4 linked regions of the Mus musculus genome follow. The protein of the gene in region 4 interacts with the protein of the main gene of each other region in a pairwise test. Links are inferred from orthologs where the notes say so. Each region holds a gene or a part of one and is shown on either strand. Other genes may lie near its edges.

Evidence for each region.
Region 1: the proteins of Rtn4 (region 4) and Rtn3 interact in binary tests that used the Homo sapiens proteins (3 or more experiments, as listed by UniProt). The link is inferred for Mus musculus from reciprocal best matches to the Homo sapiens genes RTN4 and RTN3.
Region 2: the proteins of Rtn4 (region 4) and Syt16 interact in binary tests that used the Homo sapiens proteins (3 or more experiments, as listed by UniProt). The link is inferred for Mus musculus from reciprocal best matches to the Homo sapiens genes RTN4 and SYT16.
Region 3: the proteins of Rtn4 (region 4) and Snx15 interact in binary tests that used the Homo sapiens proteins (3 or more experiments, as listed by UniProt). The two-hybrid records come from large-scale screens. The link is inferred for Mus musculus from reciprocal best matches to the Homo sapiens genes RTN4 and SNX15.

What each region holds. Positions count from the first base shown.
Region 1 is NC_000085.6:7,429,573-7,437,082, forward strand, and holds part of Rtn3 (reticulon-3), read right to left. Parts: intron 5,567-7,510; coding exon 5,359-5,566; intron 3,019-5,358; coding exon 2,880-3,018; intron 2,464-2,879; coding exon 2,394-2,463; intron 1,461-2,393; coding exon 1,414-1,460; intron 238-1,413; coding exon 179-237; intron 1-178. UniProt on the Homo sapiens protein: May be involved in membrane trafficking in the early secretory pathway. Inhibits BACE1 activity and amyloid precursor protein processing. May induce caspase-8 cascade and apoptosis.
Region 2 is NC_000078.6:73,994,522-74,002,628, forward strand, and holds the start of Syt16 (synaptotagmin-16), read left to right. Parts: upstream 1-3,255; 5' UTR 3,256-3,329; coding exon of another isoform or gene 3,330-3,342; intron 3,343-8,107. UniProt on the Homo sapiens protein: May be involved in the trafficking and exocytosis of secretory vesicles in non-neuronal tissues. Is Ca(2+)-independent.
Region 3 is NC_000085.6:6,119,584-6,126,774, reverse strand, and holds part of Snx15 (sorting nexin-15), read left to right. Parts: intron 1-2,586; coding exon 2,587-2,622; intron 2,623-2,824; coding exon 2,825-2,945; intron 2,946-4,619; coding exon 4,620-4,735; intron 4,736-4,844; coding exon 4,845-4,992; intron 4,993-5,252; coding exon 5,253-5,396; intron 5,397-5,565; coding exon of another isoform or gene 5,566-5,615; exon of another isoform or gene 5,616-5,981; intron 5,982-6,031; coding exon 6,032-6,289; intron 6,290-6,820; coding exon 6,821-6,912; 3' UTR 6,913-7,191. UniProt on the Homo sapiens protein: May be involved in several stages of intracellular trafficking. Overexpression of SNX15 disrupts the normal trafficking of proteins from the plasma membrane to recycling endosomes or the TGN.
Region 4 is NC_000077.6:29,688,978-29,697,196, forward strand, and holds the start of Rtn4 (reticulon-4), read left to right. Parts: upstream 1-3,920; 5' UTR 3,921-4,211; coding exon 4,212-4,716; intron 4,717-4,796; exon of another isoform or gene 4,797-4,828; coding exon of another isoform or gene 4,829-4,985; intron 4,986-8,219. UniProt on the Homo sapiens protein: Required to induce the formation and stabilization of endoplasmic reticulum (ER) tubules. They regulate membrane morphogenesis in the ER by promoting tubular ER production.

The sequences.
Region 1 (7,510 bases), on a different chromosome or scaffold from region 4:
CAACAAACCAAACCACCACCACAAAGCCCAAAGATGCTTCTTAAGTACAACAAAGCTAAAGTTTTATTCAGGATGAAAACTAGTTACGTTTGACAGTAACATTTTATATAAGAGACTAAACAATATGGGAGAGGAGTCCACATGGGAAACAGTGAACGTGGTCCCTAAGTACACTTACTTTTCAACAATTGACTTGGTCTGATCCCGGGCAATCCCAACATAGTGGTCAATCTGTGTCTTTAAGAAAGAAAGGAAGGAAAGAAGGCTCAGCTGGGCAATAAAGGGGCTAAGAAAAATTTCATACAATATATATTTTGGTAATATTCTTATTTCCCCCAAAAGGCACTATTCTCTTATTTAGTGCAAGTATTAAAAAATCCCAGTATTCATTATCCCAGAAAATAAAAATGATGTCCAGTTTTTCAGAAGTGAAAGTTCTGTTTTCAGATTTCAACAACACTTCAAAATAAAAATTACACATCATTTGTACAAGTAGAACTTATGTGGTATTTTCTGTAGTAACACTGAAGTACTTTTCTAAGTACTAGAAATTGCAGATTTAATCTATTCTGTAGTTGTGATGTGTTTTTGACTCCTGGGCATTATTAATTCATTTAATAATTAAGAGCCAAAAATATTTTTTATATGTGCATATTAGTGCATATGTGTATGAGTGTGCATGTGTCTTTGGAGGCAAAATTTTGATCTAAGGTTTCTCTTCAATTGCTCTCTATCTTGTTATTAACTAATCAATTTAATTAACTTAAAGATGAGGCCTCCAGTTTACCATGTAAATAAGGCTGAAGCATGGACCTCTCACCTTCCTGACTCACCTCCCACATGCTATGGATGCGCATCCCTAGACACAATTTACCTAGGGCTAGGCAAGTACTTCACCAGCTAACCTACATCCCTAGGCATCTACTTTATTTTTTGAGACAGTTCAGTCCCTCACTAAACCTATAGCTCACTGATTTGGTTAGAATGGCTGGCCAATAAGTCCCAGAGATCCTCCTCCGGGCTCAGGTTGCAGGTGTACATTTAACACCAGGTATTTTTATGTGGGTGCCTGAGATAAGAACTCAGGTTCTCATGCTTGTGTGACATTTTACCAACTGAGCCATCTCCCTGACACTCCCAAAAGGTCTTCAGATGCAGAGATAATCTACCCCGTCCACAATGGAAACATCTGCTCACACTAACATTTCCTTGGAAGTGCAGTTTAGTTTTTAGAAGATTAGCTTTACAAATCATCTTTTTTACCTTCCTTTTTGGAATGGGCAATTCATCCCTATGACTCAGAACATCTATCTAGGCCTCCAGTCTCTCTTGCTATCCGTTTTTTACTTTCCTTAAAATGAACTGAAGCCAGTCACACATTACTCAGCATATCTACCACAGATAAATGCCTACCTTATACTTCTCATAGACAATTGGGACGCTGAAGACAAGCAGCTCGGCTGTAAGACAATAAAAACACAGCAAGTGCAAACGTGAGACTCAAGCAGCACAGACACTTCTTCATGAAGTACAGAGAAACAATCAAAAAGGAAAAATAAGAGCTCTCGAAATTGAGGATAGCTGGGAGAGAGCAGATAAGGGTAGTGTTGAAAAACCCCTAACAGGCTATTTTCTTTGTATGACAGGTGTCAACTTCTAAACTACAAGTGGTTTCTAAAAGCAAGGTCCCCATATTTAAACCAAATTTAAACAGTGCTCTTTATTCACGGTTGCTTTGAAATCCTTTGTGAAAGCATTTAATAAGCTCTCGGCCACAAGCCCAGGCTACACTAACGTCTACCACACTGTAAATGCACAGGCTGGCTCTACAGAGTAAGAGATCACACTGCATACGTGATCTGTAGCAAAGTGCTCCAGTCCTCAGCTACATTGTTGTGGCTGTTCACTTTATTGATGGTTTTTATGTCCTCAGTGGGCCCAGAACATATTGTGAAGCTTAACATGATGCTGAATTCCTGACCTTCCTGTGTCTGTCTACCTAGTGAGGGCATCAGAGTTGTATGCACCATCATGCCTGGTTGCCCTGGACAGGGCCTTATTAGGTTAGCCAGGCTGGCCTTGAAGGATTGATTCTCCTGCTTCAGCTTCTTGAACAGCTTTGATTATTGGTCTGTACCATCTAGCTCAGCATTTACACTTAGTCTTTGTTTGTTTGTTTTTTTTGGTTTTTCAAGACAGGGTTTCTCTGTGTAGCCCTGGCTGTCCTGGCACTCACTTTGTAGACCAGGCTGGCCTCGAACTCAGAAATCCGCCTGCCTCTGCCTCCCGAGTGCTGGGATTAAAGGCGTGCGCCACCACGCCCGGCATTTACACTTAGTCTTACAAGTCTTTAAAGAAATAAGCACAAAGACACACTTTCCTTGTCACCTTACCGAGAATCAGAAGGGTAATTCCATTAAAAACAGCACCAACATAGGTCATCAGCCACATGAAGACAGCCAGCTGTGAAGGTCAGTGTCAGAGGGTTAAATAAGAATAAACATACCCCCGAGTTCAAGCTAACTAGGTTTGCATCAATGCAGTGTTTTATGACACAGATTCCCCCATGTGCACTTATAGTCAGAAAACTCACTGTCTTGGGGTCCATAATTTCAGGGTGCTGAGCTGATGACCGCTGGTCTAATGCTGGTCTAATGCTGGTAGGTGGCAGCATTTTCTGTTGATAGTTATTTTCTCTTTTCTGATAAAACCCTATATATGCCCTATTTTACCACCCCCCCTCGGGACAGGGTTTCTCTGTGCAGTCCTGGCTGCCCTCGAACTCAGAAGTCCGCCTGCCTCTGCCTCCCAAGTGCTGGGATTATAGGCATTCGCCACCACTGCCCGGCTTACCTCTAAATTAAAGCCCAGCAACTAACCTTCAAGGAGTCAACCAAGTCTTCTACCAGAAAGAGACGAATAATGAGTTTGAGGGCCTTGTTGACATGCACCATCGCAGCATTCATGTAGTTGTGGAAAGCTTCTGAAGACAGGGTAATGTCCACATCCAAGTAGGCCCTTCCGAGGAAGAAAAAACAGTCGCACATGTGACACACAAGGGGAAATTCTTCAACAGCACAGTGGTATTTTAGTGTGAAATCAGCATTCTAGAACTCTGTAGGGGACACAGCTGTCCTTTACTCGATAAAAGCTAATATGCCAGTTATCTATGAATGTACAATGAAGAACTATCTGGTGTAGATATATCAAAATACACTCTGTACATCAGATAGCAGAGGGCTTGCCTAGCATGCATGAGATCCTGGTTCAATCCCCAGCATTATAAAACAAGTAAAAACCAAAAATTCATTTGTGTGTTTGTGTGTATATGCATGTTGAGTTCAGAGAACTACCATGGGTGTCATTTCTCTGGCCCTATCCTGTCCTTCTCTTTTTCTCTTTCTTTAACAGTTTCCTACCGACCTACTGTCCAAATACACTGTTTTATTTTTAATGCACATGTGTATGTACGTGTGTGTGTGTGTGTGTGTGTGTGTGTAGTGGTTTGAATGAAAATGACCCCACAGGCTCATAGGCAGTGGTACTACTAGAAAATGTGGCCTACTAGGAGTGTGCTTTGACGTTTTAGGAGCTCAAGCCAAGCCCAGTGGTTCATACTGCCTCTTTTGGTCGCCTGTGGATCCAGACAGAGGTCTCAGCACCATGTCTGCCTGTACACTGTTATGCTTCCCACCATAACAATGGACTAAACTGTAGTAAACTCTGAACTGTAAAGGACTAAACCTCTCAAAAGTTAGTCCCAATTAAATGTTTTCCTTTATAAAAGTTGCTGTGGTCATGTTGTCTCTTCCCAGCAATAGGACATTGTCTAAAACAGTGGGTACACACATGGTGCACAAGTAGAGGTCGGGGGACAGTTTGTGGCAGTTGGTTCTCTCCTTCCACCATGTGGGTCCTAGGGACTGAAATCAGATTGTCAAGCTTAGATTGTCAAGCTTTTACCTGCTGAGCATCTTGCTGGCTAGGACCTTGTCTTAGCAAGTTCCAGAACACCCAAAGCTACGTAGAGAGACCTTGTGTCAAGCAATCACCATCAAAACAAAAACTTAACAACAACAACAACAACAACAACAACAAAAAAGGCCTGGGACTAGAGCTCAATGGTAGAGCACTTGCCTTGTATGTGTAAGGTCCTAGGCTCAATCTCCAAGCTGTGGGCAGGGAGCATAGTTTAAAAAAGCAAAGGAAAGACTGAGGAGGGTAGCAATCATGAATATGTTAGGGCTGCAAACTATATAACACACTGTGTTTTCAGAGGCTGAGATTAAAAAAAGGGTGGTGGTAGGTGTATAGGCAGGCAAAGGGTCTCAACTACATAGCCCCTAGAACTTACTGTATAGATAAGGCTGGCCTGAACTTAAAGAGCTCTGCTTGCCTTGGCCTCCCAAATGCTGCGATTTTGGCATGCCACAGTGACCATGTCTGGCATTCTTGTTCTGAGGGGTAAGCCTGTGCTCATAACCTGTTCATTCACACAACAGCTACTGAGCGTCTACTGCTTATCAGGTTTGAAGACATCTTGAGGAGCTCAAACTCTTGGAAGAGCAGAAGAGTAAGAGGCATGTGTTCATTTTCCTGTTTATAAATATAAAGGTTTTAAACATGAGATGTTTCCAGGTATGGAAGCAGAGGGAGGTGGGTTTCTGTGTTTGAGGCCAGCCTTATCAACACAGTGAGTTCTTTGCCAGCTAGGGAGACACACAGAGACCTTGTCCCACCAAAACAAAACAAAACAAACAAACCCTGTCTCCAAACCGTCCCATGTCTCTAACACCCCCCCTCCCGACAAAAAGATATCTGAGCTTGTAAAATATATTCACTAAGTCAACAATTACTATATTAATTTATAATTACAACCCGCACTCTAGTTCCAGGGGACCAGATGCACTCTTTTTGCCTGCAAAGGCACCACATGCATATGTTGTACAGGCATACATACAGGTAAAACAGCCATATACATAAATATTATTTTAAAGGGTAAAAATAACTGCCCCTAGACTCAGGGAAACTGCACTAGAGTTAAAGAAAATCAGAAATAAAACCCCCTGGTTCTAGAACTTGGAATTCAAAGCTGTTTCTAGCTGTTACTATATAGTACTGAAACATGGACACAATGGCTGACTGAGGGCTGCCCTGGGCAAGCTATTCTGTGCCCTGCTCTGGATTTATAGCTCTGGATTTATTAGCCTTAAGTGTGAGTCTCTAGTCAGTTAAAAGTTCTCAGATACTAACCTAATTACTTCTTAGGGTGATGGCAAGTATTTAGGGACTGCTTTTGCCATCTATCTGTAAGAGACAGGTTAGAACTTCAGACATGTGCTATCTCAGCAAACTTACTTGAATGGATGTCCTTCTTCTGACTTCTGCACAGCTTGAATGACAGACTTATAGACTCTGAAGCTGATGGTGACAGAGAGAAGAGCCAGGATGAGGTAAGAGACCACACTGATAACACTGAAGGCTGCCAGAGAGAGCAGCATGATCAGTGTGGTGCCAAAGACAAACCCAGTCTTCTTCACATCTCGCCAGAAAATCAGATCGTGCACTGCCAAGAGAGGGGGAATAGAAGTTAGAGAACCCAGGACCACCTTGGCTGTGCTGTGCTTTACTGGCTGCCATCTATCTCCCTAGTATCCTGGCACCTCTTTACTTTTGATTTTGTTATTATGGGTTGTTTTTTGTAACCCAACCTTTAACTCCTGATCTCCTACGAGCTGGGATTGTAGGCCTGTGACACATATCTGACTGTTTTTATTCTTAAGACACAGGGTCTTGCTAAACTGTCCAGCCTTACAAAAATGGACAAGGCCTCTAGAGTTGGACAGATGAGAGTCTGAGTCTTGGCCATTTCTACCTGTGCTACTTTTCACCATTCTAAGCCATTCTCCATTGTAAAGTGAAGAAAATGGCACCATCTCCCTAAAGCTGTTTCAAGTCCAGTGCAGGTAGAGTGTATTATTACCTACATGCAACAAACTTATGTGATTTACTAGGAAGGAGAGGTTTTGAGATTCCTGCTGGGAAACTGAGTTCCAGGTAGTGGATTTTGCAAATCGGGAGAAAACAGGGTTCCAGTCAGGTGCACATGATTGAACTGAGCCGATACAGGGAACTGCATGAAGGAGACCTAAAAGGGCCAGCGCTAAGCAGGGTAATTCCTATAGTCAAAAGTCAGGCACACACCTATGTCGAGTTCTCATGTCTATAAGTATAGTTTCAATACAGAATGCAGAAAGGTTTCATGTCATCAACCAATCAAACAAATTGATGATATGTGCCCCAAACATGTACCTTTTTAAAAAGAGAAGGTAACTAGACAAACTTACCTGGAGAAATGTCCTACAAAATAACTAATCTATATTCTTAAAAACTACCAGTGTAGGGCTGGAGAGATGGCTCGCTGTTAAGAGCACTGGCTGCTCTTCCTGAGGTCCTGAGTTCAATTCCCAGCAACCACATGGTGGCTCACAACCATCTGTAATGGGATCCGGTGACCTCTTCTGATGTGTCTGACAGTGACAATGTACCCATATATATAAAATAAATAAATATTCAAGGAAACAAACAATTACCAGTGTAACCAACAGCGGACTGGAGAGATGGCTCAGCAGTTCCAGAAGACCTGAATTTAGCATCCACAGATTGGCTCACAACGGTCTGTAACTCCAGTTCCAGGAGAGTAACAGACCTCTTTTGGCTTCCATAGGCACCAGGGACACACATGATGCATACATACATTCTTACTTATAGGCAAACACTTATATAAATAAAATTAATAAATCTAATTTTATTACACAGAAAGAAAATAAACGGATTTCTACATTTGCAAAGTTGAAAAGAGCCACTGTGTCCTCATGGACTTTACTGCCACCTGCTGGAAAGCTGTTATACAAGATAGTCAGATGTACAATTCACATGTGACTAGTGCCCCTTAGAGGCATGCAGAATATAAACTGCATAACAATACAGAAAAGCTCTAGGCTCAACCAGTGGAATTTTGGGCCTAGACCAGAAAAAGGGCATTAGGGAATGGCAGATAAAGGGCAATATTGTGCTACACCTCAAACCTCAGTTTGCAGCTTTGCTTCATTTGGCCTTGGCCTGCAGTTACTTCCTGCCCTACACTCTGTATCCCATCACTCTGAATGATCTTACAGCTTTGTTTCTTCTAGGAGCACCTCCACCTCGTTTATCTTTTATAGACTCTTCAGATCTGTGACAGAACAAACTCATAACCCAGAGCCAGTGTGACTACAACTTCCCTTTGTTTCCTTATACTGTTCCTCAACATGGAAATTTGCCAAATGTATTCAGTACAGACCACCAAAAAAAAAAAAAAAAAGACTCTGTGTGTTTGTGTGTGTGTGTGTGTGTGTGTGTGTGTGTGTGTGTGTGTGTGTGTAGGGGTGGCAAATCATTTGGCAATGTTTACCTCGCTGACTCTCTGGTAGAATTAAGAGACAAATGTGACAAAAGGGTAGCTGTCAAA
Region 2 (8,107 bases), on a different chromosome or scaffold from region 4:
AAAAAATATATTTATTTTATCTATGTATGACTGACTGTTTTCTTATATATTTGCATGTGCATTAAAATGTAGCAGATCCTCTAGAGCAGATGGTTGTGAGTCACCATGTGGGTGCTGGGAACTGAACTTGGGTCCTCTGGAAGATCAACAAGTGCTCTTAATGCCTGAGAAATCTCTCCAGCCCCTAGCCTTAAGTTCTGTGAAGAGACAAAAGAGCCAAAGTCTTGGCTTTTAATTTCAGAAGCTCAGGTCAACTACAAGACACAGATTTGCAAGAATGTGGGATGTTAAAGGGTCTGTTTTCCAGACTTTTAGGAGCGGGACTTCCTGGTCTTTTGAAAAATGGCCTTCATCATTGTTTGCATAGCTGTGAAGAGATACCATGACCAAGGCAACTCTTATAAGGATAATATTTAATTGGGGCTGGCTTACAGGTTCAGAGGTTCAGTCCATTCTTATAAAGGTGGGGAACATGGCAGCATCCAGGCAGGCATGGTGCAGAAGTTGCTGAGAGTTCTACATCTTCATCTGAAGGGCGGTAGGTTAAGACAGCAGGTTAGGAGGAGGGTCTCATTGCCCACCCCTACAGTGACACACTTACTCTAACAAGGCACACTTTCTAATGGAGTGGCACAAATAAGAAGTGGATGTCCAGGTAGACTGTGACAGACTCATCGTAGGTCATATGACAGGTTTTGTTTGTTGGCTCACTCTGCAGAGGTCCTTTCAGCACGTGGTAGACGAATTTGAAATGTGGTTACAGGTCAGGAAGTGACTGAGCAGGTAAAGACCCCTGTACTGAAGTGTAACAATCAGAGTTAGATCCCTGGGACCAACATGGTTAAAGGAAGAACTGACTCTCCACACACTGTCCTCTGACTTTTACATGCATGCTGTGGCATGTTCCCACACTAATAAAGAAATGTAATAAAAACATTTTTTTTAAAGGGATAGTTGTCTGGTCTATGAGAATAGCCTTGATGCTCTATAGACTTTCCTGTCTGTTCAGAATGGTGTGGGCAAATACTCATGTGTTTCCCTTCAAGGGCAATGGAAAAATTGAAGAGAAAAAGACTTGTGAGGAGTTTAGAGGTGGGTGACAGGGTGGGAAGCAGTGGCTGTCCCATGCATGAACTGGTAACTGGTGGCCACCCGTGAGTGAGATCTTCAAAGTGTGCCCAGGGGTGCCCAACATTTTGACACTGTGATGCTATTACACACACACACACACACACACACACAAAATCTCATACTTTTAAGTCAGTTTACAATCTTGTCTTTGACCACATTCAGAGCTCTCTTTAGCTGCATGTGACCTGTGGCTGTGTGGTAGATACTGCTATAGTGCTAAGGACAGATGGTACCCGATGCCTTTCGGTACACCTCCATGTTACCCAGTGCTTACCCCCAAACTTGCTTGTAACCTCTCAAGTGGGAGAAGGGATTACCACAGACAAACCTGGATTCATAGAATTGACTCCCTGAAATCAAACTTCCTAACAATGGCCACTTGGGTCAGAGGCTAAATTTGATTATACAGAAGAAAAGAATATATTTTTTTTCTTGAACACATTTGGATGTGTGGATTATCTATCTTATAGAACAATCATTTATCTCATGACAATAAACCTCATATCAAGTCCGCCCTCCTGAATCTCCCTTCATTTAGTGCCAAGCCTTCTGAGACTGTTGTCACACGTAGGACCTCCAATCTTTAAGTCCACTAGTTTCTTAGCCCTTTCTAGGTGTCGTCTGGTTCTACTGCCCACATGTCACTCATGAAACCCAGGCTTTGGGTCATCATTATCCCTCTTATAATTTAGAAAAACACTTTAATGACTAAAGAGCTTCACCAATGTTCTGCCCCTTGGAGCCAAACCCACCTCTCTACCTTGATGATCAAAATAGCTTAAGATGAAGATTTTCGAGCTTCAGACAGGTTCACAGTTCTTGAGGCGTTTTTAATGCTCTTCTTGTGTCTCTTTGTTTGGGGACCTACCATCACCACCGAGGGTTGTTAGAACTAAAACATGAACCTGGTGTCTATGCTTGAGAATCACATGTGCCGTAAACAGATTAAAATGAAAGCCGCAGCCAGCAGAATGTGGATGCGGTTCACCCTCATCGTGCTGACTCCCTCACCTACATCCTGTGGACTGATCAGAGAGGACCCTTTTGTTGTTTTCCGGTATTTTCCTTTGCCCACCTGGTCAGACGGCAACTGTTTCTGATTCTGCTTTGCACCTGAATTCTGTTGGTGCCCAGCGATGCCTGAGATGACGCCCACTGGCATCCTTACTGTTTGGGTTAAATGAGTGGCCTCAAGCCGACCAAAGGCATCGTGCCTGCACAAACAACAACGAAAAACAAAAACCCAATGCCTTCCCGTGCTTAGGCTTTGAGTTTGAGCCACTTGATGCTTCCCCATGTGGTGGTGGTTTCTCATTTGCTACTGGTCCCTAAATATAGCAAGGATCTTTCAGTAATTGGTTTATAGCATTCAACAAGATGTACTGCGAACAAACGCCCACAGGTGGACTCATTTCAAAGTCCTTTTAACCGCGATGGTCCTTGAGGCAATACTGATTGCTTTTCTCGTGGAGCTGGTCCTTTAATACAAGTCATCGGAGCCGCCTGTGGTCTGGCTCGCAATTATCCACTCGTTAGTCACCCATCCTGTTCACATCTAATTAGTTAATTGGCCATTTATTCACTAACTCATTAATTCACGCAGGTTTCCAGTTAGAGTCCTCCATTAAGTCGCTTAATAGAGATCTGATAGCCTACTACACACAAGGCTCTATTTTCACCTTGGAGACAAAACAAGAGGATGAGAGGAGTCTTGGTCCTCACACACAGGAGGCACCTGTGTGATCCTTGCTTCTCTCTCCCCCACCTGCTCCCTGCTTTGCTCCTTTGAGCTAGGGCTCAGGGTCGACATTGCTGGAAAGAAGCACCAGGCCCGGATGAATTGAAAAAAGCAAGGCAGGATACCAAGTGTTTGTTCAGCGGGAGAATAGAGCGGGCAAGAAACCTGGAGAGGAGCGGGCCAGGTTGCTAGCTGCTTTGTCTTAGGGAGGGATGATGCTACGGGCTGGGCAGGGCAGGTTCGGTGGCGGTCGGCTCCGCTAGGGTGTGGGGACGCTGGCGGGGGCGACCCAGCTGGCAGCCACCACGGGGCTCGGGGCGGCGCGACGGGGGCGCGCGGCGGGAGCGTCTGTGCGCGTCGCGGCCCTCGAGCGCGCGGGGCCTGTCGAGAACGCGCGCGGCCGGGCGCGGCGTGGGTACCCCAGCCGCGGGCGGCCGCCCTGCAACCCCCCGACGCGACCATGGCGACTGACAGTAAGTGCGGGGTTCCCCGGGGGCGGGGGCAAGGCATCCGGGGTGGCAAGTTCTCCTCCCGCGCGCGCCTGCCTTTGTGCCCAGCTCGCGGGGGCAGCGACCGGGTACCCCATCTCCGGAGCCCGCCCTTGTTACCGTGCCCATCACCTGCTATGGCTGACAGGACTGGATAGGGTTGGGGATCCGAGGACCTCTCAGGAGGGATGCAGCACCCGACTGGAGGGGACACTTGATGCTTGAAGGCAGCAGGGCTGGGCCTCGCAGCCCTTTGGGGACTGCCTCCAGGCCCACAGCCAGTTTTTAGGGAGCCCAGTATTGGGGCGCTGTGAGTTCAAGGTTTTCCTGGAGTTCTGGGTCAGATTGGCACGCCCTCTTCCTGGTGGGTGGCCCCACTGGGCTCTGTTCTGGGGCTCTGAAGCCACAGACCTTGCCTGGCTGCCATGGAGAGTGAATGAAAGGGGCGTGCAGAGAAGGAAGGTTGACACCGAAGACTGGAAGAGTTGCAAGGCTTCAGGCTGGCCTGCTGTTGGCATCTTGGAGTCTTTGCTGCTGTTTTTGGAAATTAGGGTTACCGCTAAGAAAACTGGTTACATGTAGCTGTAGCTTGACCTGTTAGTGGAACCTCAAAAGGAGTGCAGAGTAAAATAAGTCACAACACTTGTCTTAGACTTAGCATCTAAAGTCCTCAGCAAAAGTCATGGCACACAGTAGGGACTTCATTCACTGAATGTACCATGTGATTACAGACAATAATAAGGCAATTTTGAGAGATGAGAGGGGACAAAATAGGTGTTGAGGGTCAAAATTTCATTATTTTTTCCTTCAAACTTATCATTATTCAGTCAAGAACACAGCTTGCATACAGTACAGAGGATGCACAGTTTCGAGTTAAAAGCTATGATGACATTTTTATATCCCAAGTCCCTCAGTAGTGGGATTGTGGCCCTGTTCCCAACCTTAAAACTGTGGCTGTTGGATTTAAAGGCTCAAGTCAGTAATCCCAGGACTTGAGCGGCTGAGGCAGGAGGATATCAAGTTACAAACCCTGTTTCAAAAAAAGTATATGTATGTGTAGATTATGTGTATACACATGCGTAGTGAGCCTGCCATACCCGGGAAAGTGATGGGTATCTATCTCATAAGTAGTAGGCATGCAAGAGAAATGGACATGTGTGTGGTTGCTCACTCATCTCCCATTCGCCATCATTTCGTTTGTGTGGCGACACCAATGGACCCTCTCTGCTTTCTGTAGATCAGGGGGTGGCACAAAATTAACTACTAGAGACAACCCTTTTTGCTCTCAGCTCTGCTTCTATGGACAAAAGTATACACATTAGGTAGGTCTAGGGGGAAGAAGCTATACATTTAGATTTTTATTAACAAAGAAACAATTGCACTTGCCCTTATTTGTGTAAATGGTAACTAAAGAGTTCCAGCGATACAGAATTTCTATCTTCAGTTCTTCAGGTAAGGGGATGTCAGGTGAGAGGCAGGGGGACGGGGAACACCATCACACAGTGAGGAGATGGCCTCACTAAGATGCATCAAACCTGGGTACAATCTGCCTCGATGTTGCCTGATTGCTTTTGTTTCGGGGTTCTCGCCTCCTTACATTTCTCCTTGAGGGAAAACCCAGCTGTAAAGCCAGGCAGAGGGCAGCCTGTTGTGCTCTGTCGTTCTTGGAAGGGATCCCAAGGAAGCTTCTCTGTGATTATAGCTTGTGAGTATAGGTAGGACACAGAGGTATTTATATATATATTTGTCTGGAAAACAGTCTTTACACACAAAAAGGATGAGAACTCGGAGAGACTGTCCTGTGTCCAGACGCAAAGTCATAGATTGAAGGGCAGTTTCAAGAGAAGTTGGGATACTCAGTTGGTTTCCAGTAAGTTATTATGAAATGGTTACGCGCCTAGGTGTGCGTTGTAAATGGTGCTACTCAGAGGTATTTTGAGCTATGTTTGAGGTAATGGGTAATTTTGTTCCAAGTAGTTTCTATTTGTCTTTCCTGTGTGGCATTTGTTGCATTATCAATACTTTTTATCAAGGATCTTCACTTTTGAATCACTGTTGCCTGGTTGTTTTGAAGGTGCCTTTTTATATGTGCATGCTCATGAGTGCACATGGGGGGTGTGTGTCTATAATCTATCTTTAAGCATGCATTTTCTCAAGGGGCTGGAGAGATTGCACTTCAACTAAGTGTGTATTCTGCTCTTCTCAAGGATCCAAGTTTAACTTCCAGCATACATTTTGGGTGGCTCACAGTCACCTGTAACTCCAACTCCAGGGGTTTCAACACCCTTGTCTGGTCTCTGAGGGTCTCTGAAAATACCCCCTCATAAACACACAGACACATATAATTTTCAAAAATAAATCTTTAAAAAAGAAAAACATTCAAGACACATTGTATGAAAGTCTTGAGTAAATAGAATATTACTAAAAAAAAAAAAAAAGAAATAAAAAGAGTAAACTCTCCAGGACAGCAGGCATGCTTTGAGTGGTTGGAGATAGCTAACTGAAGTGTGCCCCCAGAAGTCTCGGGCAATCCTTGGGCTGCTGGATCTCCAGAGGTGTTGCAGTAAGTATTCTGTATCTTAAGGAGTTTCTCTGGATTGCTTGGGTTGTTCCTGGTCCATTGCATGGATGCTCATGAGTCACCGTTGCCTGGTCCATTTAGAAGCCGATTGCTGCTAACCCACAGGCAGGCAGTCTCTACCAGCAGTCATTCCTCCCCACTCCCCTTTCCATTTCCCAGCAACCTGCAGCTACTTTATCCTCATCTTTTCAACTCCATCAGCAATGTCTACTCCTCTCAGTGTGGAAGGAAGTGAGTGAGTCAGGGCAGGAGGAGGTAAATGCGGAGCCCTAGCAGGAAAAGTTGGATTTTTACTGCCAGATGGGTGCTTGACACGTTCTAGTAGAACGTGTAGACTCTAAAAGAAAGTTGCCTGAGTGCAAATAAGTTCATTATTGAGTAAAACTATCTTCAATCCCAGTAATGACTGAGACAAATGATGACAACTATAACTTTAGGCAAAGAGGTAGAAAATTACAGCAGACCTGGAAACTTGGACAATTCATTGGTGGTGCTGTCTTCTGCAGAAAACATTGTGTTCTAATAAACACCACAGCAATAATCAGTTCAAGCAAGAATCACCTGTGGCTCCTGAACACGCGTGTAAAGGGAGCAGTGTGCTGCTGGCTTTATGTCAACTTGACATAAGCTAGAATCATCTTAGAGGAGGCAACTGCAATTGAGAAAATGCTGCCCTGAGATCTTCATTAGTGATTGATGGGGGAGGGCCAGACCCATTGTCTATTGGATATCCCGTGTTGGTCCTGGGTTCTATAAGAACGTATTCTGAGCAAGCCATGGAGAGCAAGCCGGAAAGTAGCACCCCCTCCATGGCCTCTACATTGATTGGCTCCTGCTTCCAGGGTCCCGCCCTGTTTGACTTCCTGCCCTGGAGGATAAACAGTGATATAGAAGCATCAGCAGAGTAAGTCCTTTTCTCTCCAACGTGCTTCTGGTTGTGGTGTTTCATCACAGCAGAAGAAACCCTAAGGCAGTGGAATACCTAAACTCTTAGAAGAATTCCCCCACCGATATCTTGCTAGTTGTAAAAACAAAATGGTAGTTTTATAGTGGAGGAACCTGAGATACATTATCTTAAATAAAGAATTGCAACAACCTGCTGTCCTGATAGGAAGCTCTGGGGAAGGACAGGGTGCCGCTTACCAAAGATGTACGACCTGATTCTAATCACAAGGAGACGCCATTTAAACACGAACGGAGGCACATTTGTAGATATTAATGTCACGGGAGACTGCGGAGGCTTTATCCATGCTAAGGAGACAGCCAGGGCAATGGAGGATTTGAGGTTAAACCCTAGATCAGGAAGATCAATGCTGTAGAGAACAGTGTTGTGTTTAAGTATCCCATTTGCCTTGGGGCTTCTATTGCTGTGCTGAAACACCATAACCAAAAAGCACTTTGAAGATGGATCATGTTAATATAGGAGGCAAATAGCATCAGTGTCAAGTTTCACAAGTTTTATGTTTTTATTACATTTATAAGTGGAATGCACTTCTTGTTAGGGGAAGATGACATACTTAGGAAGAGGGGGCATCTATCTGCAACTAAATCTCGTGTGTTGAGGAAACACAAATATCTATGTACATGCGTGTTTATAAGTATGTGCGCGTCACATGAGCAAGAAAGGGCTAATGCAAGCGTAGCAAGATGTCACTTGGTAAGACTAGCGATCTCTTGTTCTTGCAATTTCTCTGTAAGTTTTTTTTTGTTTTTTTTTTGTTTTTTTTTGTGTATCCTAGCTACTCTAAACTAATGTTTCAGAGTTTAATTTTTGAAAGGTTCAAAGTTATGGACTCCTAAATTTGGTTTGGCTCTTTATTATGGAAAACGTTATATGCACTGAAATATAATGGACCCCCATGTACCCGAGTGCCTCCGTATTCACAGGTTATCTTTTTACATCCATTGCCACACTCTTAATTAATGCAGGTGTTTAGAAAGCAAGTCCAGACATGGTTACATTAGCTGTTGAGGGGTCAGTGTGCTGTGTGCACATCTCCTTTCTGTACTGGGCTTATACCTAAGTGACACTCAGACAGGTGGCAGCCTTTGGGGATGGTTAGTTAGTATGATGCGCTAGCAGCAAGAGGCCTGGGAAGTTCCGTGCTGTGGGATACATGTGTTCAGGTTTCAGCGTGACTAAGGCTTCACAGGTGTGAGGGAAAGGTC
Region 3 (7,191 bases), on a different chromosome or scaffold from region 4:
ATGATCCTTTTTTTATTTTATAGATTTATTTACTTAATTTTTTTCTTTATTTATTTCGAGGCATGTTTTTTCCCTGTAGCCCTGGTTGTCCTGGGACTTGTGTTGTAGACCAGGCTCAAACAGAGATCCATTTGCCTCTGCCTCCCCAGTGCAGCATCCCTAGGGATTAAAAATGTGTACTACCCCTCCTGGCTTATTTACTTAAAGATTTAAAACGTAGTTGTTTTTTTAAAAAACAAAAACATCTGTGCACTCTCCATGCAATACCAAAGGAGGCCAGAAGAGGGTGGTAGATCCCTATTGATTGGAATTACAAGCGCTTGTGTGCCCTCACGTTGGTGCTGGGAATAGAACTTCTGTCCTCTAGAAAGCAGCCAGTGCTCTTAACCTGAGCCATCGATCCAGCTCCAGATTTATTTAATTTTATATGTATGAATATTTTGCCTGTATGTATGTTTATGTACCAAATACAAGCCTGGTGAGATCAAAGGTCAAAAGAGGTCTTGAATCTCCTGGAATTGGACTTAGAAATTATTTCTATCTGCCATCTCAGTGCTGGGAACCAAACCCAGGTCCTTGGCTACAGCAGCGAGTGCTTTTACCTGCTGAATCATCTCTCCTTGTTTCTGGCTGATGTACGTGTCTGTGTGAATGTGTAGCACAACTGCGTGTGGATGCCTGTTGAGGTCAGAGGAAGGTGCATCAGATCTGATCCCCTGGAGCCAGAATTACAAACGATTATGAGCCACATAATGTGGGTACTGTTCTGGGCACTGAATGTAGTGCTTGGAAGATCAGGTCATGCTCTTAACTACCGAGCCACCCCTCCTGTCCCCATCCTTAGATTTTAAATGGGCATCTTAATCATGTCTGGTTTGCTGAGATCTAGAAAAAAAAAATGGAAAGGATGTTTTGAAAACTGTTGATTCTAAACTGTACAACCTTACTGTAAAACTCCCATAAGCATAATAGCAAAAACTAAGTGTTACTTCTGTCTCGGGCCAATTCTGTTCTTCCAGAGTGCCCAACCCCACTGCTAACTCTGTCTTCATGGGTATGAGACATTGTAGCTCCTCTCTTTTTTTTTTTAAAGATTTATTTATTTATTATATGTAAGTACACTGTAGCTGTCTTCAGACACTCCAGAAGAGGGCATCAGATCTTGCTACGGATGGTTGTGAGCCACCATGTGGTTGCTGGGATTTGAACTCCGGACCTTTCACCAGCCCGTAGCTCCTCTCTTAAGAAGAACTGGATCCTGGGACAGACTCTCATTTTTTTTAAATGATTTATTTATTTTTACTTTATTTTCTGTGCATCGGTGTTTGACACAGCCAGTGCTCTTAACTGCCAAGCCATCTCTCCAGGAACCATCTCTCCAGCCCCTAGACTCTCATTTCCTGAGAAGCATAGTTTTGTTTTGTTTTGTTTTGTTTTCCTTTCTGAATACCAGGACGTGGCCCTAGGGAGGAACTGGGATAGAAGTTGAGTGCCAAGCCTAGGGGTGAGTGTCTTTACCCCACTTAAGAAGCAGAAGCAGCCACATCTCTGTGACTTTGAAGCCAACCTAACCGTCAAAGCAGGTTCTAGGCAGTTCTAGGCCTGCCAGGGCTACAGAGGGGAGCCTTGTCACTGCTTAAAAAAAAAAAAAAAAAAAGGAAAAAAAACCCGCCAATTAAAAAAAAATAATAAAGTTGGGAGATGATGGAGAGATGACTCAGCAGCTAAGAACACTGCTGCTCTTCCAGAGGCTCTGAATTCAGTTCCCAACTAACACATGGTGGTGCAGCTCACAAAACATCTGCTGGCATGTAGGTATACATGCAGATAGCACTGCTAATTTTAAAAAAAATACAAGTAAAAAAGTTAAAAGGTAGCCGGGCAGTGGTGGTGCACGCCTTTAATCCCAGCACTTGAGAGGCAGAGGCAGGTGGATTTCTGAGTTCGAGGCCAGCCTGGTCTACAGAGTGAGTTTCAGGACAGCCAGGGATACACAGAGAAACCCTGTCTCGAAAACAACAACAACAAGTTAAAAGGTTTAAAATAATAATAATAATTAATAATAAAAGTTTGTCTACAAAGTGAATTCCAGGACAGCCAGGGCTATACAGAGAAACCCTGTTTCAAAAAAACCAAAATAAATAAATAAATAAATAAAAGTTGAGTATAGGGCTATCTAGACATTCAGTATACTCACGTTTATAAGATAAAGATACAGTTATACAAAGGAAAATTTTCTCAAGGAGCTGAGGATGTAACTCAAGAAGTCCTGAGTTCAATCCTTAGTATCAAAAACAAATAATAAAATAGCTTAATTTAGTAGTGCATGCTGTAATCCCAGCACTTGGGAGGCAGAGGTCGAAGGATTTGGAGTGCAAGGCCAGCCTCTGCTACACAGTCAATTTGAGGCCATCTTAGGCTACATGAAACCCTGCATGCAGAAATCCAAAAGAAAACTTGCTCCAAGCCTTAAATCCAGGCCCATTTATCCCAGCATGCCCATTATTCTGAAAGACACTGTGAGGGGTGGCGCAGTGTTGCCTGTCAGGCTCTGGTCTCACCTGGCTCCCACCTTTCCTTTCTCAGTTCATCTCAAAGAAGGACCCAGAGGATATCAAAGAGGTGAGTGTGGCTCCCAGGAAGAAGGGCTGTTCCTGTACACATCAGCATCAGTAAGGGAAGAGCTGGTAACCAAGGACAGCCTTCTTCCCTGACCTGTGCTGGAGAGGGTGTGTGCAGTCCTTCTCGGACTCTAGGATACACTTAGTGTGGGAAGGCCACTTTCCACCGTGCTGGTCCAGGTCAGTTCTCAACTGCCTCACAGGTAGTAGTCTGGAAGCGGTACAGCGACTTCCGTAAGCTCCACGGGGACTTGGCCTATACTCACCGAAACCTCTTCCGTCGCCTAGAGGAGTTTCCGGCCTTCCCCCGTGCCCAGGTGTTTGGTGAGTATTGACTCTGAACCTCTCTGCCCCAGTGTGCGGGCAGCAGGGAACTGGTCTGGTGGGAACTGTGAGTGTGATGTTGTACCCTGAACAGCCATCTTTGGAAAACTAGATGGGCCTTCTCAGATGGCCTCATTGAAATATGGGGAAAGTGAGACTCTGAGCAACCTCCCCTTTATTGTGTGTCGGGCTATGAACAGTCCCAGCAAGATGAGGCTCGTCAAGGTGAAAGGCCTTTGTCTGAGCCTTAGTCTGTTCTCTGTTTCGATAGCACAGAGGATGCATTAGTTACCATAGGAACGATGCTTATTTTGACATATGGCTCTGTTCCAAAGTTCAGAGGCCACATCTGCTGATGGCTCTGTTGCTGGCAGAGGCCTAAGGTAGCAGGGAGAGAGTCAAGGAGGACATGAGGGACAGAACACCAAGCTAGCTTTTTTTTTTTTAAAGATTTATTTATTTGCCGGGCGTGGTGGCGCACGCCTTTAATTTAATTTAATTTAATTTAATTTAATTTAATTTAATGGGGGAGGGGGCAGAGGCAGGCGGATTTCTGAGTTTGAGGTCAGCCTGGTCTACAGAGTGAGTTCCAGGACAGTCAGGGCTACACAGAGAAACCCTGTCTTGAAACAAAACAAAACAAACAAAAAAAAGATTTATTTATTTATTTATTTATTTAATGTATGTATGTGAGTGCACTGTCACTGTCTTCAGACACACCAAAAGAGGGCGCCAGATCCCATTACAGATGGCTGTGAGCCACCATATGGTTGCTAAGAATTGAACTCAGGACCTCTGAAAGAGCAGTCAGCACTCTTAACCGCTGAGCCATCTCTCCAGCCCCCAAGTTAGCTTTTATAGCAGAGAACCCAAGAGTCCACTCACCCATTAACTACAGGAGTTCTCAGAGTGTGTTGTTGGCAGGCCACCCCAAGCCAATGAGACCATCATGGAGAGTAGGCTAGAGTGCTGGCTGTGCCCCCAGTACAACAACAACTAAGGTAGAGCTAGCCTATACTACATGTAGCTTTGCCATTTGTTGTTGGTTTGCTTCAGTTTTTGTTTTTTCCATTTTCTTGAGACAAAAAAAAAATCTCAAATGTAGCCCAGGCTAGCCTTGAACTTCTAACGATCCTCCTACCTTAGATTCCCAAGTATAAGCTAACAGGTGAGCCCCACCTTGCCCAGCAGTGGGACAGCTTGCTCTGTGACCTTGGGCAAGTCACCTCCTTCTCTGAGCTTCACTGCCCTCCTGATCGTATCCAAGCCTCAAATGGCCTTTCCTGTCAGACATGATAGCCCACACCTTTAACCCCAGCACATAGAAGGCAGAGGCAGGTGCATCTCCGTGAGTTTGAGATCTTCATAGCAAGTTCAAAAGCCAGCTAATTACAAAATGAGACATTAGCCGGGCGTGGTGAAGCATGCCTTTAATCCCAGCACTTGGGAGGCAGAGGCAGGCAGATTTCTGAGTTCGAGGCCAGCCTGGTCTACAAATTGAGTTCCAAGACAGCCGGGGCTACATAGAGAAACCCTGTCTCAAAAAAACCAAGAGAGAGAGAGAGATTGGAGAGAGAGAGAAACAGACAGAGAGGGAACAGAGAGAGCGAGCCTGAAGCCCCCCCACCCCACACCAATACACACACTGCTGCTCTCCTGCCCTGGGGTCTGCAGGGCGGTTTGAAGCCTCTGTGATCGAGGAGCGGCGCAAGGGCGCGGAGGACCTGCTGCGCTTCACGGTGCCCATCCCTGCACTCAACAACAGCCCCCAACTCAAGGAGTTTTTCCGGGTGAGTCTGTCTGCTCGCCACCCCCGCCCCCAGTCAGCTCCCTTGTACTGCTTCCCGCCCTGCCAGCCACATTCCTGACCCCTCCCCTGCTGAACTTTGTCTCCTGCAGGGCGGGGAGGTGACACGGCCCTCTGAGGTGTCCAGGGACCTGCGAATCCTGCCACCCCCTCTCATCCCCACACCACCTCCGGATGAGGCCCGGCTACTTCAGCCGCTGCCTGCGGAAAGGAGGGGCCAGGAGGAGTTGGAGGTGCCAGGTATCTCAGGGTCAGGGAAGGAGTGAGTCCTCCTCCCACAGGGGAAAACATAGGGGTGGGCAGTCCCACCGTCCTCCTGGGGAGGACCTCTGAACAGGTCATCTTCCCTTCTGAGCTCAGTTTGCTCACCTATCAGATAGGATCTGGCAACCTATTGGTGGCCCTGTCAATACCCATGGCTGCTGCAAGGGCTAATCAAGACTGTTTTGAAATCGGAGCAACAGTAGGTACAGACATCTGTCCCTCTGGTCTCTCCTCAGTGGATCCCCTCCCGTCCAGCCCTGCCCAGGAGGCCTTGGACCTTCTCTTCAGCTGTGACAGTACGGAGGAAGCTTCCAGCTCCCTGGCTCGAGGTCCCCTCTCTGAGGCTGAACTTGCCCTTTTCGACCCTTACTCCAAAGAGGGTAAGGAGCAGGTGTGGGGTAGCGGAACTAAGGGGTGTGAAGGGAGACCCTCTGTGGCTGTGAGCAGCTCTGGGAGGAGCCCAGGAGGATGGAGCTGGAGGATGGAGGGAGTCCTCCTCTCCGGGCAAACTCTGGGTAGCATATCACCATAGGGTCCTATTGCTCACAGACTTGCTGTGTCTGGCCTTGGTGGCACGCACCCTGCATCCTAGCACTTGAGAGGCAGAAGCAGAAAGACCAGAAGTTCAAGGTCATGGGCCAGCAAGATGGCTCAGAAGGTGAAAGCCCTACCTTATGAACCTGGCAACCTGGTTCCATCCCAGATTCCACTGTAAATGATTAAAACAAACAAACCAACCCAGAACCTGTCCTCCAGCCATGGCATGCTCACACCTGCACTCACGCCTGCACTCATACCTGCACTCACGCATGCACTCACGCATGCACTCTCCCATGCAGCAGTAATAATCCACTAAGCCGTTACAAAACCTCCTGAGCCAAACCAAGGAAACAGATCCCAGCTGCTTCCTTCTACTCAAGTGAATTCAGTGGGACAGTTTGGTGTCCTGGGGTGGGCAACAGGCCCTGAGAAAGAGAGGGCCAGTCTGCCCTCACTCCTCCCTGTTTTATTACAGAAAGTACAGGCCCCAGCCCTACCCACACAGGTGAGCTGGCAGCCATTGAGGTAGAGTCCAAAAGGCTGGACCAGGAACCCTGGGAGCCAGGAGGACAGGAGGAGGAAGAAGCTGAGGATGGAGAGCCTGCCCCAGCTTACCTTGGCCAGGCCACAGAGCTCATCACTCAAGCCCTGCGGAATGAAAAGGCTGGCGCCTACGCTGCTGCTCTCCAAGGCTACCAAGATGGGGTGCACATTCTTCTGCAGGGTGTCTCAGGTGGGTAGGGCAGTAGGGAGGAGGGAAAGTAGAAAGCAAAGGACCAGGGGAGGTGGTGCAGTCGGTAAAGTGAGTGCCGTGCAAGCAGAAGACCTGAACTAAATGCCCAGAGCCACACATAACAGTGTGCACCAGCAGAGACGGTTCCAGCAAACGTACCCATGACAAGATGGGAAGCAGGGACAGGAGAATCCCCAAAAACTCGAGGGCAGCTGAACCTGGCATAGGCTGCAGAGAACAGAGAGATCTTATCTCCGACAGACGACAGACACGGTGATAGGGGAAGACCTACACCCAAGGTTGCCCGCTGACCCTCCCGTGCTCACTCACACACATACAATACATTCTAAAGAAAGAAAGAGGGACCGTGAACATCTGTTTCTCACAGGTCAACTGGAGACACTGGGCAGAATTTTCCCTTATTTTTTTTAATAGCCTCATAAAATGAGGCAAAGACAGGAGGACCCAGGGAGGGAAAGGACACATTATGACCTGGGTTCTGAATGTAGGTGGGCCATCTGCTTCCTCCAGGTGACCCATCCCCTGCCCGCCGGGAAGGTGTGAAGAAGAAGGCAGCCGAGTACCTGAAGCGGGCAGAGATGCTTCACACACACTTGCCCTAAGGGGTGGACCCTTCCTGGGATGTCAGCTCCAGCACTGCCAGCCACCCCCACTGCTCTCTTTGGGACCTGGCCGTGCTTCCTGCTCGTATGACTACCAGGGGCCATATCTGTATTAACTGGATCAAGTATAAGAAAAGCAAAGACTTCTCAGCTCTGACCTGCCTGCCTCCTTGGAATTAGACTTGAACTTCTGATCCTGCCTATCTGTTCTATGTGAGTGGCATCTGGGCCCCTAACCTGTCAGTTCACCCATCTAGACCAGAGTCTGTAGCCAGACCT
Region 4 (8,219 bases):
ATAGCTTCTACCAGGCAGCATTCAGAGCCCATCACTTCAGGTAGCAGAATGGGGGCCTGGAAGGTGTTTATGACCAGGAACCTATGCCTGAGCCTGCAATCAAGCCAGGAGTTGTAGTTGGGATGCCTCTTACCACTGAGCATCAAACAGTAGTTGAAGGCCTTTTCCTGCTTTGGCAGGAACAGTGGTAACTATTGGTAAATAGCCTATGTGGGGCCTGGTACCCAGGTTACTGAGCAAGCTACTTATTCAATTCTGCCCTGGTTTCCTTAAAAGAATACCAGGTTGCCTGCCTCATAATAGTGACTGAGATGTTGGGCCATATTCAGATCCCTGAGAATGGTCACATGATGGCTAGCGCAGGCTTCTGCTCAGATCTGCCCATAGAAACTTGACTTTAAGAAGCCTCAGCTTCTTAGGCTTCCCAGAATGCACATGGGGCAGGACATATCAATTAGGGTAGAGGTCTTCTTTCTCTTACCATGTACTGTGCAATGAGGGCCTGGCCTTCACTATCCAGTGTGGGAAGATCCTCTTTGGTGAACTCATTTGTGTTTCTGAAGCAATGGACATCCCTGTTCTGGATGGCAGACCGACCACTCAGGACTTCAGCAGCCACTGGAGCAGTGCAATCTTTACAGCTACTGCTGATATGGAAACAGGAGTCCCTGCTCGCAACAACAGCTAGGAATATTCACTGTTAGTATATCATTGGGCCCTCTGGTCTCCTGGAGACGGACAATATCAGCATCCAGTTTGTTCAAAATGTGTCTCAGGGCCATGGGTCAGTGGCTACTTTCCTGGAAACCCAACCCTTATATGAGCTTCATTGATGTTCCTGGTTATTACACATGACATTTAGCACAGGTGGATTGTCACAGGGAAGTTGACAAAGCTTCATACATCATAGCAGGACGTTTTTGGGTTTTTTGTTTGTTTGTTTGTTTTGTTTTTTTGAGACAGGGTTTCTCTGTGCAGTCCTGGCTGTCCTGGAACTCACTCTGTAGACCAGGCTGGTCTTGAACTCAGAAATCCACCTGCCTCTGCCTCCCAAGTGCAGGACTTCTTCTGTATTCTCCATTCATCTGTTGGTAGATATGTAAATAGCCATTTCCTGGCTATTTGGATAGTGGGATTCCTTTTCCTGACTTAAATTTTTATTTTAGGTCCAACACTAATTATAAACATGACTGAAGAAATTGATCTCATTTCTGTTTTTACTCTTAGTAGTGAATGAATGTACTTTGAACCAAGACATTTATTAACCAGGATTACAAAGCTACATTTCATAAAATTCTATATATACAGAACCTAAAACCAGGGAAGTGTTAGGGAAAATCATGCAGGAAGCTGTTACAACTTCCACTTAAGCCAAAAATTATGTTTCAGTGTTTTGTTTTGTTTTGTTCCAGTACAAAGAATGCATGTAACTCAGCAGTGCACTTGAAAAAAGACAAGTCCTTTTCAGTAGGTGAAAGAGCTATGGCAGAAAGCTCTTGAAACAGGTTTTATGTTGGAACCCATCTTTCATATTCCAATATATATGCATATATATATATATCCATCTCTGGCCCTTTAACTTTTTCAAAGGGCATACATGATAGAAGGCAAATGTAGCCTGTTCCACATATGAGTTTAGGTAGTGATTAAGTGTTTTGCAATAGTATTAATACCATAGCACTGGAACTGCCTATTCTTCTGAGTAGTGACCCTTCCTTTACCTGAAAATGTATAGACAAACTTTGCACCTGCTTTGTTTGGTGCTGGTATAGAGTACATACCTAATGCATTGTATAAACCAATAAAGCATAAAATGCAAACACAGAATGGATACTAGTTCAAGAAACTTTTGCTATGTAATGAATCACCTAAAAAGGCAGTGGTTTAAAACAACAGTGACACATTATTTTTCATGATTGTATATTGGCTCTAGGATGAAGTCGCATTTTTTGAGAGAATATCACTATGGCTGGGATAGTTAGGTGTCTCTTTCAATGTCTCTTTTCTTCCAGAATGAATAGGACCAGAATGTGTATGAATGCTATGCGGTGTATATGTGGGACACCACGCAGGTGCCTGGCTCCTGAGGAAGTCATAGAGGGCTTCATATTTGCTGGAACTGGAGTTATGGAGAGTTGGAAATCACCATGTAGGTCCTTAGACTCAAACTTGGGCTGTTTATTTACTGCAAGAGCAGTAAGTTCTCTTAACTAGCCATCTTTCTAGCCCCATTACATTTTAAAAGTTTTTTTTAAAAAAAGATGTGTGTGAGTGTGTATGCTGTGATTATGAGCTGCTTGGATGCTGGGAACAGAACTCAGGTCTTGTTAAAGCCATTTCTCCAGCAACCCTCACCAACATCCACCCCACCCAATTCTTTCTTAAAACTTAAACTAAATCTAGGGTGATATTACTTTGTTGGGACTACAAATTTGCTTAAAAACCAACAAAATCCATGGCAATCAAATATCTTAGTTATTAGAACATGCATTTAAAAGTTTCTACAAGCTGCTTCAAAAAGAATACAAGTGAACTTGATAATATAGTGTACTCATCCCACTATATCCAAAATACTATCAATGCCAACATAAAACCAATGTGAAACAGAAATTATAACATTTCTTATAAATTCTGGGAATGTAGTGTGTATTTTATTCACAGAACACACTTCATTTCAGTGCTCAGGAGCTAAAAGCAGCCAGTTGCTTCAGTACTAGACAGTGCACATGTAGACTGAACAATTGGAATGCAGGCAATCCTCTCTCCAGAGTAGGCATGCAGCCAGTATTTTTGAAAAGTGTATAAGAAAGATAAAGGGACTCTGCAAACCTTGAAGCAAAGTTTTCTATGTTCTACCGTTTTCTTTCTTTCTTTCTTTCTTTCTTTCTTTCTTTCTTTCTTTCTTTCTTTCTTTCTTTTGATTTTTTGAAACAGGGTTTCTCTGTGTAGCTTTGGCTGTCCTAGAATTCACTTTGTAGACCAGGCTGGTCTCGAACTCAGAAATCCACCTGCCTCTGCATCCCAAGTGCTGGGATTAAAGGCATGTGCCACCACACCTGGCTACCGTTTTCTTTAAAGTGTAGCTTTGGGGGGGTGGGGGTGGGGGGGACCGCACATCAGGAGACATGCCATTCCAGCATATCAAACCAGTGAGTGTAGGGCTTCCCGACTCCTAGGAAGCCTGAATCATCCGGGATGTTGACTCATCAGCCTGAGGTGAGTGAAAAATAGTGAACCAATTTTGCCTTCCAAGGCATCTATTTCAACGTTCCTTCCCCCTTCTCCCTTTCTGGTGACTCATTCTCCGTGCACTTTTAGAGTCCAGCAGAATGCAAGGCCGAAAGCATTCTAAACAGTGAGCCCAGAGCTCCGGGTAATCTAGCACAGCTGTTTTGCCTACCTCATTCCAGGCCTGCAGTCTAGAAAGGGAGGGAACTTGAAAGTGTCAAATAAATGTTTTGTTTTTCTTTCTCCTTTTGAGGTGGTGGTAGTTATGCGTTGGGACCATGTCTGAAAATAAGTCTTTTATCTAAAAAAATCCGTAAGACCTAATTCAGTCTTGTTAGTACCTTTCTCCACTTTTTTTTTTTTTTTTCCCTTTTCGGGGAGGAAACTTTCCACTCCTAGGTCCCCAGGATAACGCCCTTCCACAGGCTTCTTGGAAAACTCTCCAAATCCTGGGACCGCAGCCCGCCCCCTTTTGGTAGACTAAAATCCCGCTGTAGGCAAGGCCAAGTCCCCGCCCCATTCCCCAACTACACTAGGTGGGGGTGGATCCCAGCTCCAAACCCCGCCCTCCGAACGCCACCAAGGAAGTATGGCAGGCTCCGCCTGCACCCTATTTCTATTGGACAACCCCGTGATCCATCTTCTCTATCCCGCAGCCTATTGGCTCTCTGTCCCCCGCGCCAGCCAGCCCTCCCCTGCCGGGAAGGTGAGTCACGCCAAACTGGGCGGAGAGTCTGCCCTCCTCTCTCAGTTGCTCATCTGGGCGGCGGCGGCTGCTGCAACTGAGGACAGGGCGGGTGGCGCATCTCGAGCGCGGAGGCAGGAGGAGAAGTCTTATTGTTCCTGGAGCTGTCGCCTTTGCGGGTTCCTCGGCTTGGTTCGGCCAGCCCGGCCTCTGCCAGTCCTGCCCAACCCCCACAACCGCCCGCGGCTCTGAGGAGAAGTGGCCCGCGGCGGCAGTAGCTGCAGCATCATCGCCGACCATGGAAGACATAGACCAGTCGTCGCTGGTCTCCTCGTCCGCGGATAGCCCGCCCCGGCCCCCGCCCGCTTTCAAGTACCAGTTCGTGACGGAGCCCGAGGACGAGGAGGACGAGGAAGACGAGGAGGAGGAGGAGGACGACGAGGACCTGGAGGAATTGGAGGTGCTGGAGAGGAAGCCCGCAGCCGGGCTGTCCGCGGCTCCGGTGCCCCCCGCCGCCGCACCGCTGCTGGACTTCAGCAGCGACTCGGTGCCCCCCGCGCCCCGCGGGCCGCTGCCGGCCGCGCCCCCCACCGCCCCTGAGAGGCAGCCGTCCTGGGAACGCAGCCCCGCGGCGTCCGCGCCATCCCTGCCGCCCGCTGCCGCAGTCCTGCCCTCCAAGCTCCCGGAGGACGACGAGCCTCCAGCGCGGCCTCCGGCGCCAGCCGGCGCGAGCCCCCTAGCGGAGCCCGCCGCGCCCCCTTCCACGCCGGCCGCGCCCAAGCGCAGGGGCTCGGGCTCAGTGGGTGAGTGCTGCTGCGCGTTACGCCCCTCCCTCTTTTGTGTCTTGGCCCGGGGGAGGAGGGGACGGGCAGGGCTGCTCGGGACCCTAGGGCTTTGTCTACGAGTGGCAGGGTGATGGCGCCCCCGCTGGCGGGAGGCGGGCAGAAGGGTGGGGCGGCCTCGGAAGCCTGGGTGCCTTCATTGTTTGTCGGGGTTTCGGGGAGCACGTGCACCGCTGCCAAGTCGCTGGTTCCCATTCCAGCACGAAGTTCTCGCCTATCAGCAGCTAGGAGTGTGTTGAAGAACTAGGATGGTGGATTCCTTGGGCTGGGCTGGGCTGGGCTGGGCTGGGCTGGGCTGGGCTGGGCTTGGAGGTGGGAATGGGAAGGCTGTGGTGCCCTAATCCCTTTATTTAAAGGATGGGCGTTTGTCGACCACTCTACAGTTTTTTTATTTTTTAGGGCCTGCCTTCCTTCCTGCCGGGCGTCGGGGGATCCCCTTGCACTAATCCCCTGTTTCTTTCTCCCTTTATTGGTGGGGAACTGGCCGAGCTGCTAACGTCTATACAGTAACCCAACTGCGGTGAAGGGGGAGCGAGCGCCTCCAGTGGCGTGGTTCCAGGAGAAAAGGGAAGGAGAGACTTTTGGTGAAGTTCTGCCACCGCCCAGTTCATTTGTGTTTAATGTGGTGATTCCTACACCAGCCTGAGAAACGAGATCTGGGCATTTTGTTCCGATGGGGCATAGTTATCCAGGGCCTCAGTTGTGCTGTAAAAGAAATTGCCAAATTTAATGGCATCTCTTAGCCTTTAAATGCATCGAGATTGACTTGTAGAGAAAAGGCAAAATGGTTGACCTTAAAAAGGGGCAAACCTGTGGATTCCTGGTCAGGAATTAGTTGAACTTGTGGTAGATTTATCCTGAGACATAATGAAATGTTTTAGGGCAAATGTTCCTATATTAGTTAGAAGTTTTTATAAGTATATGATTTACATTGACAAAATGCATTGAATATTGTTTTATTGCCCTTTTTATTTTGGAAAGGGAAAAAAATCAAATTTTGTAAAGAACGAGAATGCATCTTAAGTAGTTTATTACTTTGGGACAAAGTGTCTTGCTAGCAAAAAGCCTTTTTTTTCTTTTTGTAAAGTAAGGTAAAAAATTAAATGGTATAACTGCCTGCTGGGAAATTTTCACAACATTCCAGATCTAGGAGGTTTTATTTTTTTAGAGAAATAATATCACCCCAGAGCTTGCAGTATCTTTTTTATTACAATTAACTCTCTTATAATGGGGATAATGAATCAATAGAAGTGATCCTGGGTAACAATTCATTATGGGCACACCAAAGGCACTATTCAAAAACAACTCCTACAGTAAAGAATTTAGATGAAGACTGCCTTGTCTTTTCATTTTTATTTTCCTTTCCTTTTTTTTGAGGGAAACTAAAGTAGAAAAAAATAAAGTATTAAAATTTTAAACTGGAAACAATGATTGGCCAAACTATACTTTTCATTTTTTCTACTTTCATAGAAACAAGATAAATAGTTTTGTCCTTTGAATATGGAGGGGACTCAGGCAGCATCAGCATTTTCTTGAAATACTGACAAATTTTAGAAGATTTAGAAATACTAACAAAGTTTAGAAGACAAAAGAGGAATGTTGTCTACCCAGGAATTTTGTACTCATTGTGTTTTTTGGAAGCTTTATTCCCTTTATTGAACACAACAACAGTGAGTTGTGGTTGTTGATATTTAACTCATCGCAATACATTAGATTTCTTAATGCACTGAAGAGTTTGGCTATTGGCTGGTCCCTATTATTGGTTATCTAGGACACTTTACAAAGTTCTGGGCTTCCAAGGTGTGGCAGTAAGCAAGACTCATGCTCTCCTCATGGGGATAATACACAAAATAAGCACACAAAAAAGTACTAAAAATGATGGTGTTATGAAACGATAACAGCTTGAAGGGATGAGAATAACTGAAACATGTGTACCCTTTTTTTTTCTTCTTAAAGATCTATTTATTTTATGTATATGAGTACACTGTAGCTGTCTTCAGACACATCAGAAGAGGGCATCAGATCCCATTGCAGATGGTTGTGAGCCACCATGTGGTTGCTGGGAATTGAACTCAGGATCTCTGGAAAAGCAGTCAGTGCTCTTAACCGCTGGGCCATCTCTCCAGCCCCATGAGGACCCTTTTCAAGGTTGCTTGATGATAGGAAAAAGAACTAAGGTTTGAGCTGCAGAGAAAAAATATATATATAAAGGAATTCCTAGGGCAAAGACCCTGAAGCAGGAGTGAGCTTGTTTATTAACTAAGATTATTAAGGAAAACTTATGCAGAGTCAGGTAGTTAGGAGCCTCTGGGGTCACGGTAATAAGTATGGCTTACAGAAATAGTATTTTAGGAATATGCTACTTGAATAATTACATTGTGATTTTGGAGCAAAAATGTAGTTTTGAAGGTTTATAGATGATTATAATAAAGACAAAGGTGAAAGCACTCTGTCCATGGTTAGAATAGACAAACTGGGAGAGGCTATATATAAACCCCTAGCAACTGTGTTTAACACTGCTATTTACATTAGTTTTTTTCCTTAACTCTGATATCCTTCAGTTAGTAAGTTATAGTTTTCCTGAATTGCAGTATCTCCATTGTAATGTATTGAGACCTGTACCTTTTACTTGATGACCATTTTTCTAGAAAGAATGGTTCATTTGTTCTAAGGAAACTTAGAGATTGATTTGAGGAAAGTGCAGACATCAGTTGACCATTTTTCTAGAAAGAATGGTTCATTTGTTCTAAGGAAACTTAGAGATTGATTTGAGGAAAGTGCAGACATCAGTTAAGATGACTAAGCTGATCTTTAGACACATTGGTAATGTGAATGAAAGTGTGTGATAGATTAACTGGAATTCTGAAGGGTATTAAGTCAAAATAAAGGAATCTGGATCTTATTATCATACTTTAATTCATAGTCTGCCGTGTCAAGCTGCTTTTATATCATGAAATCAAAATGGTTCTTCAAAAAAAAAAAAAAAAAAAGATTTGTGTACGTGCACAGGCCAGAAACAGGAGGGTATCTCTCTTGTTGAGTACAGATATGTTGGTATCCAGCTTGATAATGAGATTTTATGAGTTGGTTAGTCTGTTTTGTTTCGTTTCAAAAGAAAAAAGATTTATCAAGCTTCTGGTGATGGTGGTTTCAAGGCATGGCATCTGTCATCTACTTGGCCATGGTAAAAACCTTGTAGATAATGTCACAGTGGTGAGAGCCTGGACTAGAGGACCACAATTACATGGTGAGACAAGGAACCTGGGAGGAAGTAGGAACCAGTCTTGGCCTTTTATAACCATCATCTTGTGAGAACTCAGGTTCTAGTAGAACCTTTATTCTTCCTGGGATTACAACCCAGATTACAACCACTTCCCAGTAGGCTGTTCTCTTTTTGTCCCTGGGTATTGAATTGATGGCCTTGTGTTCTATAGTGAAGCCACTACTGACTGACTCACTTCTCC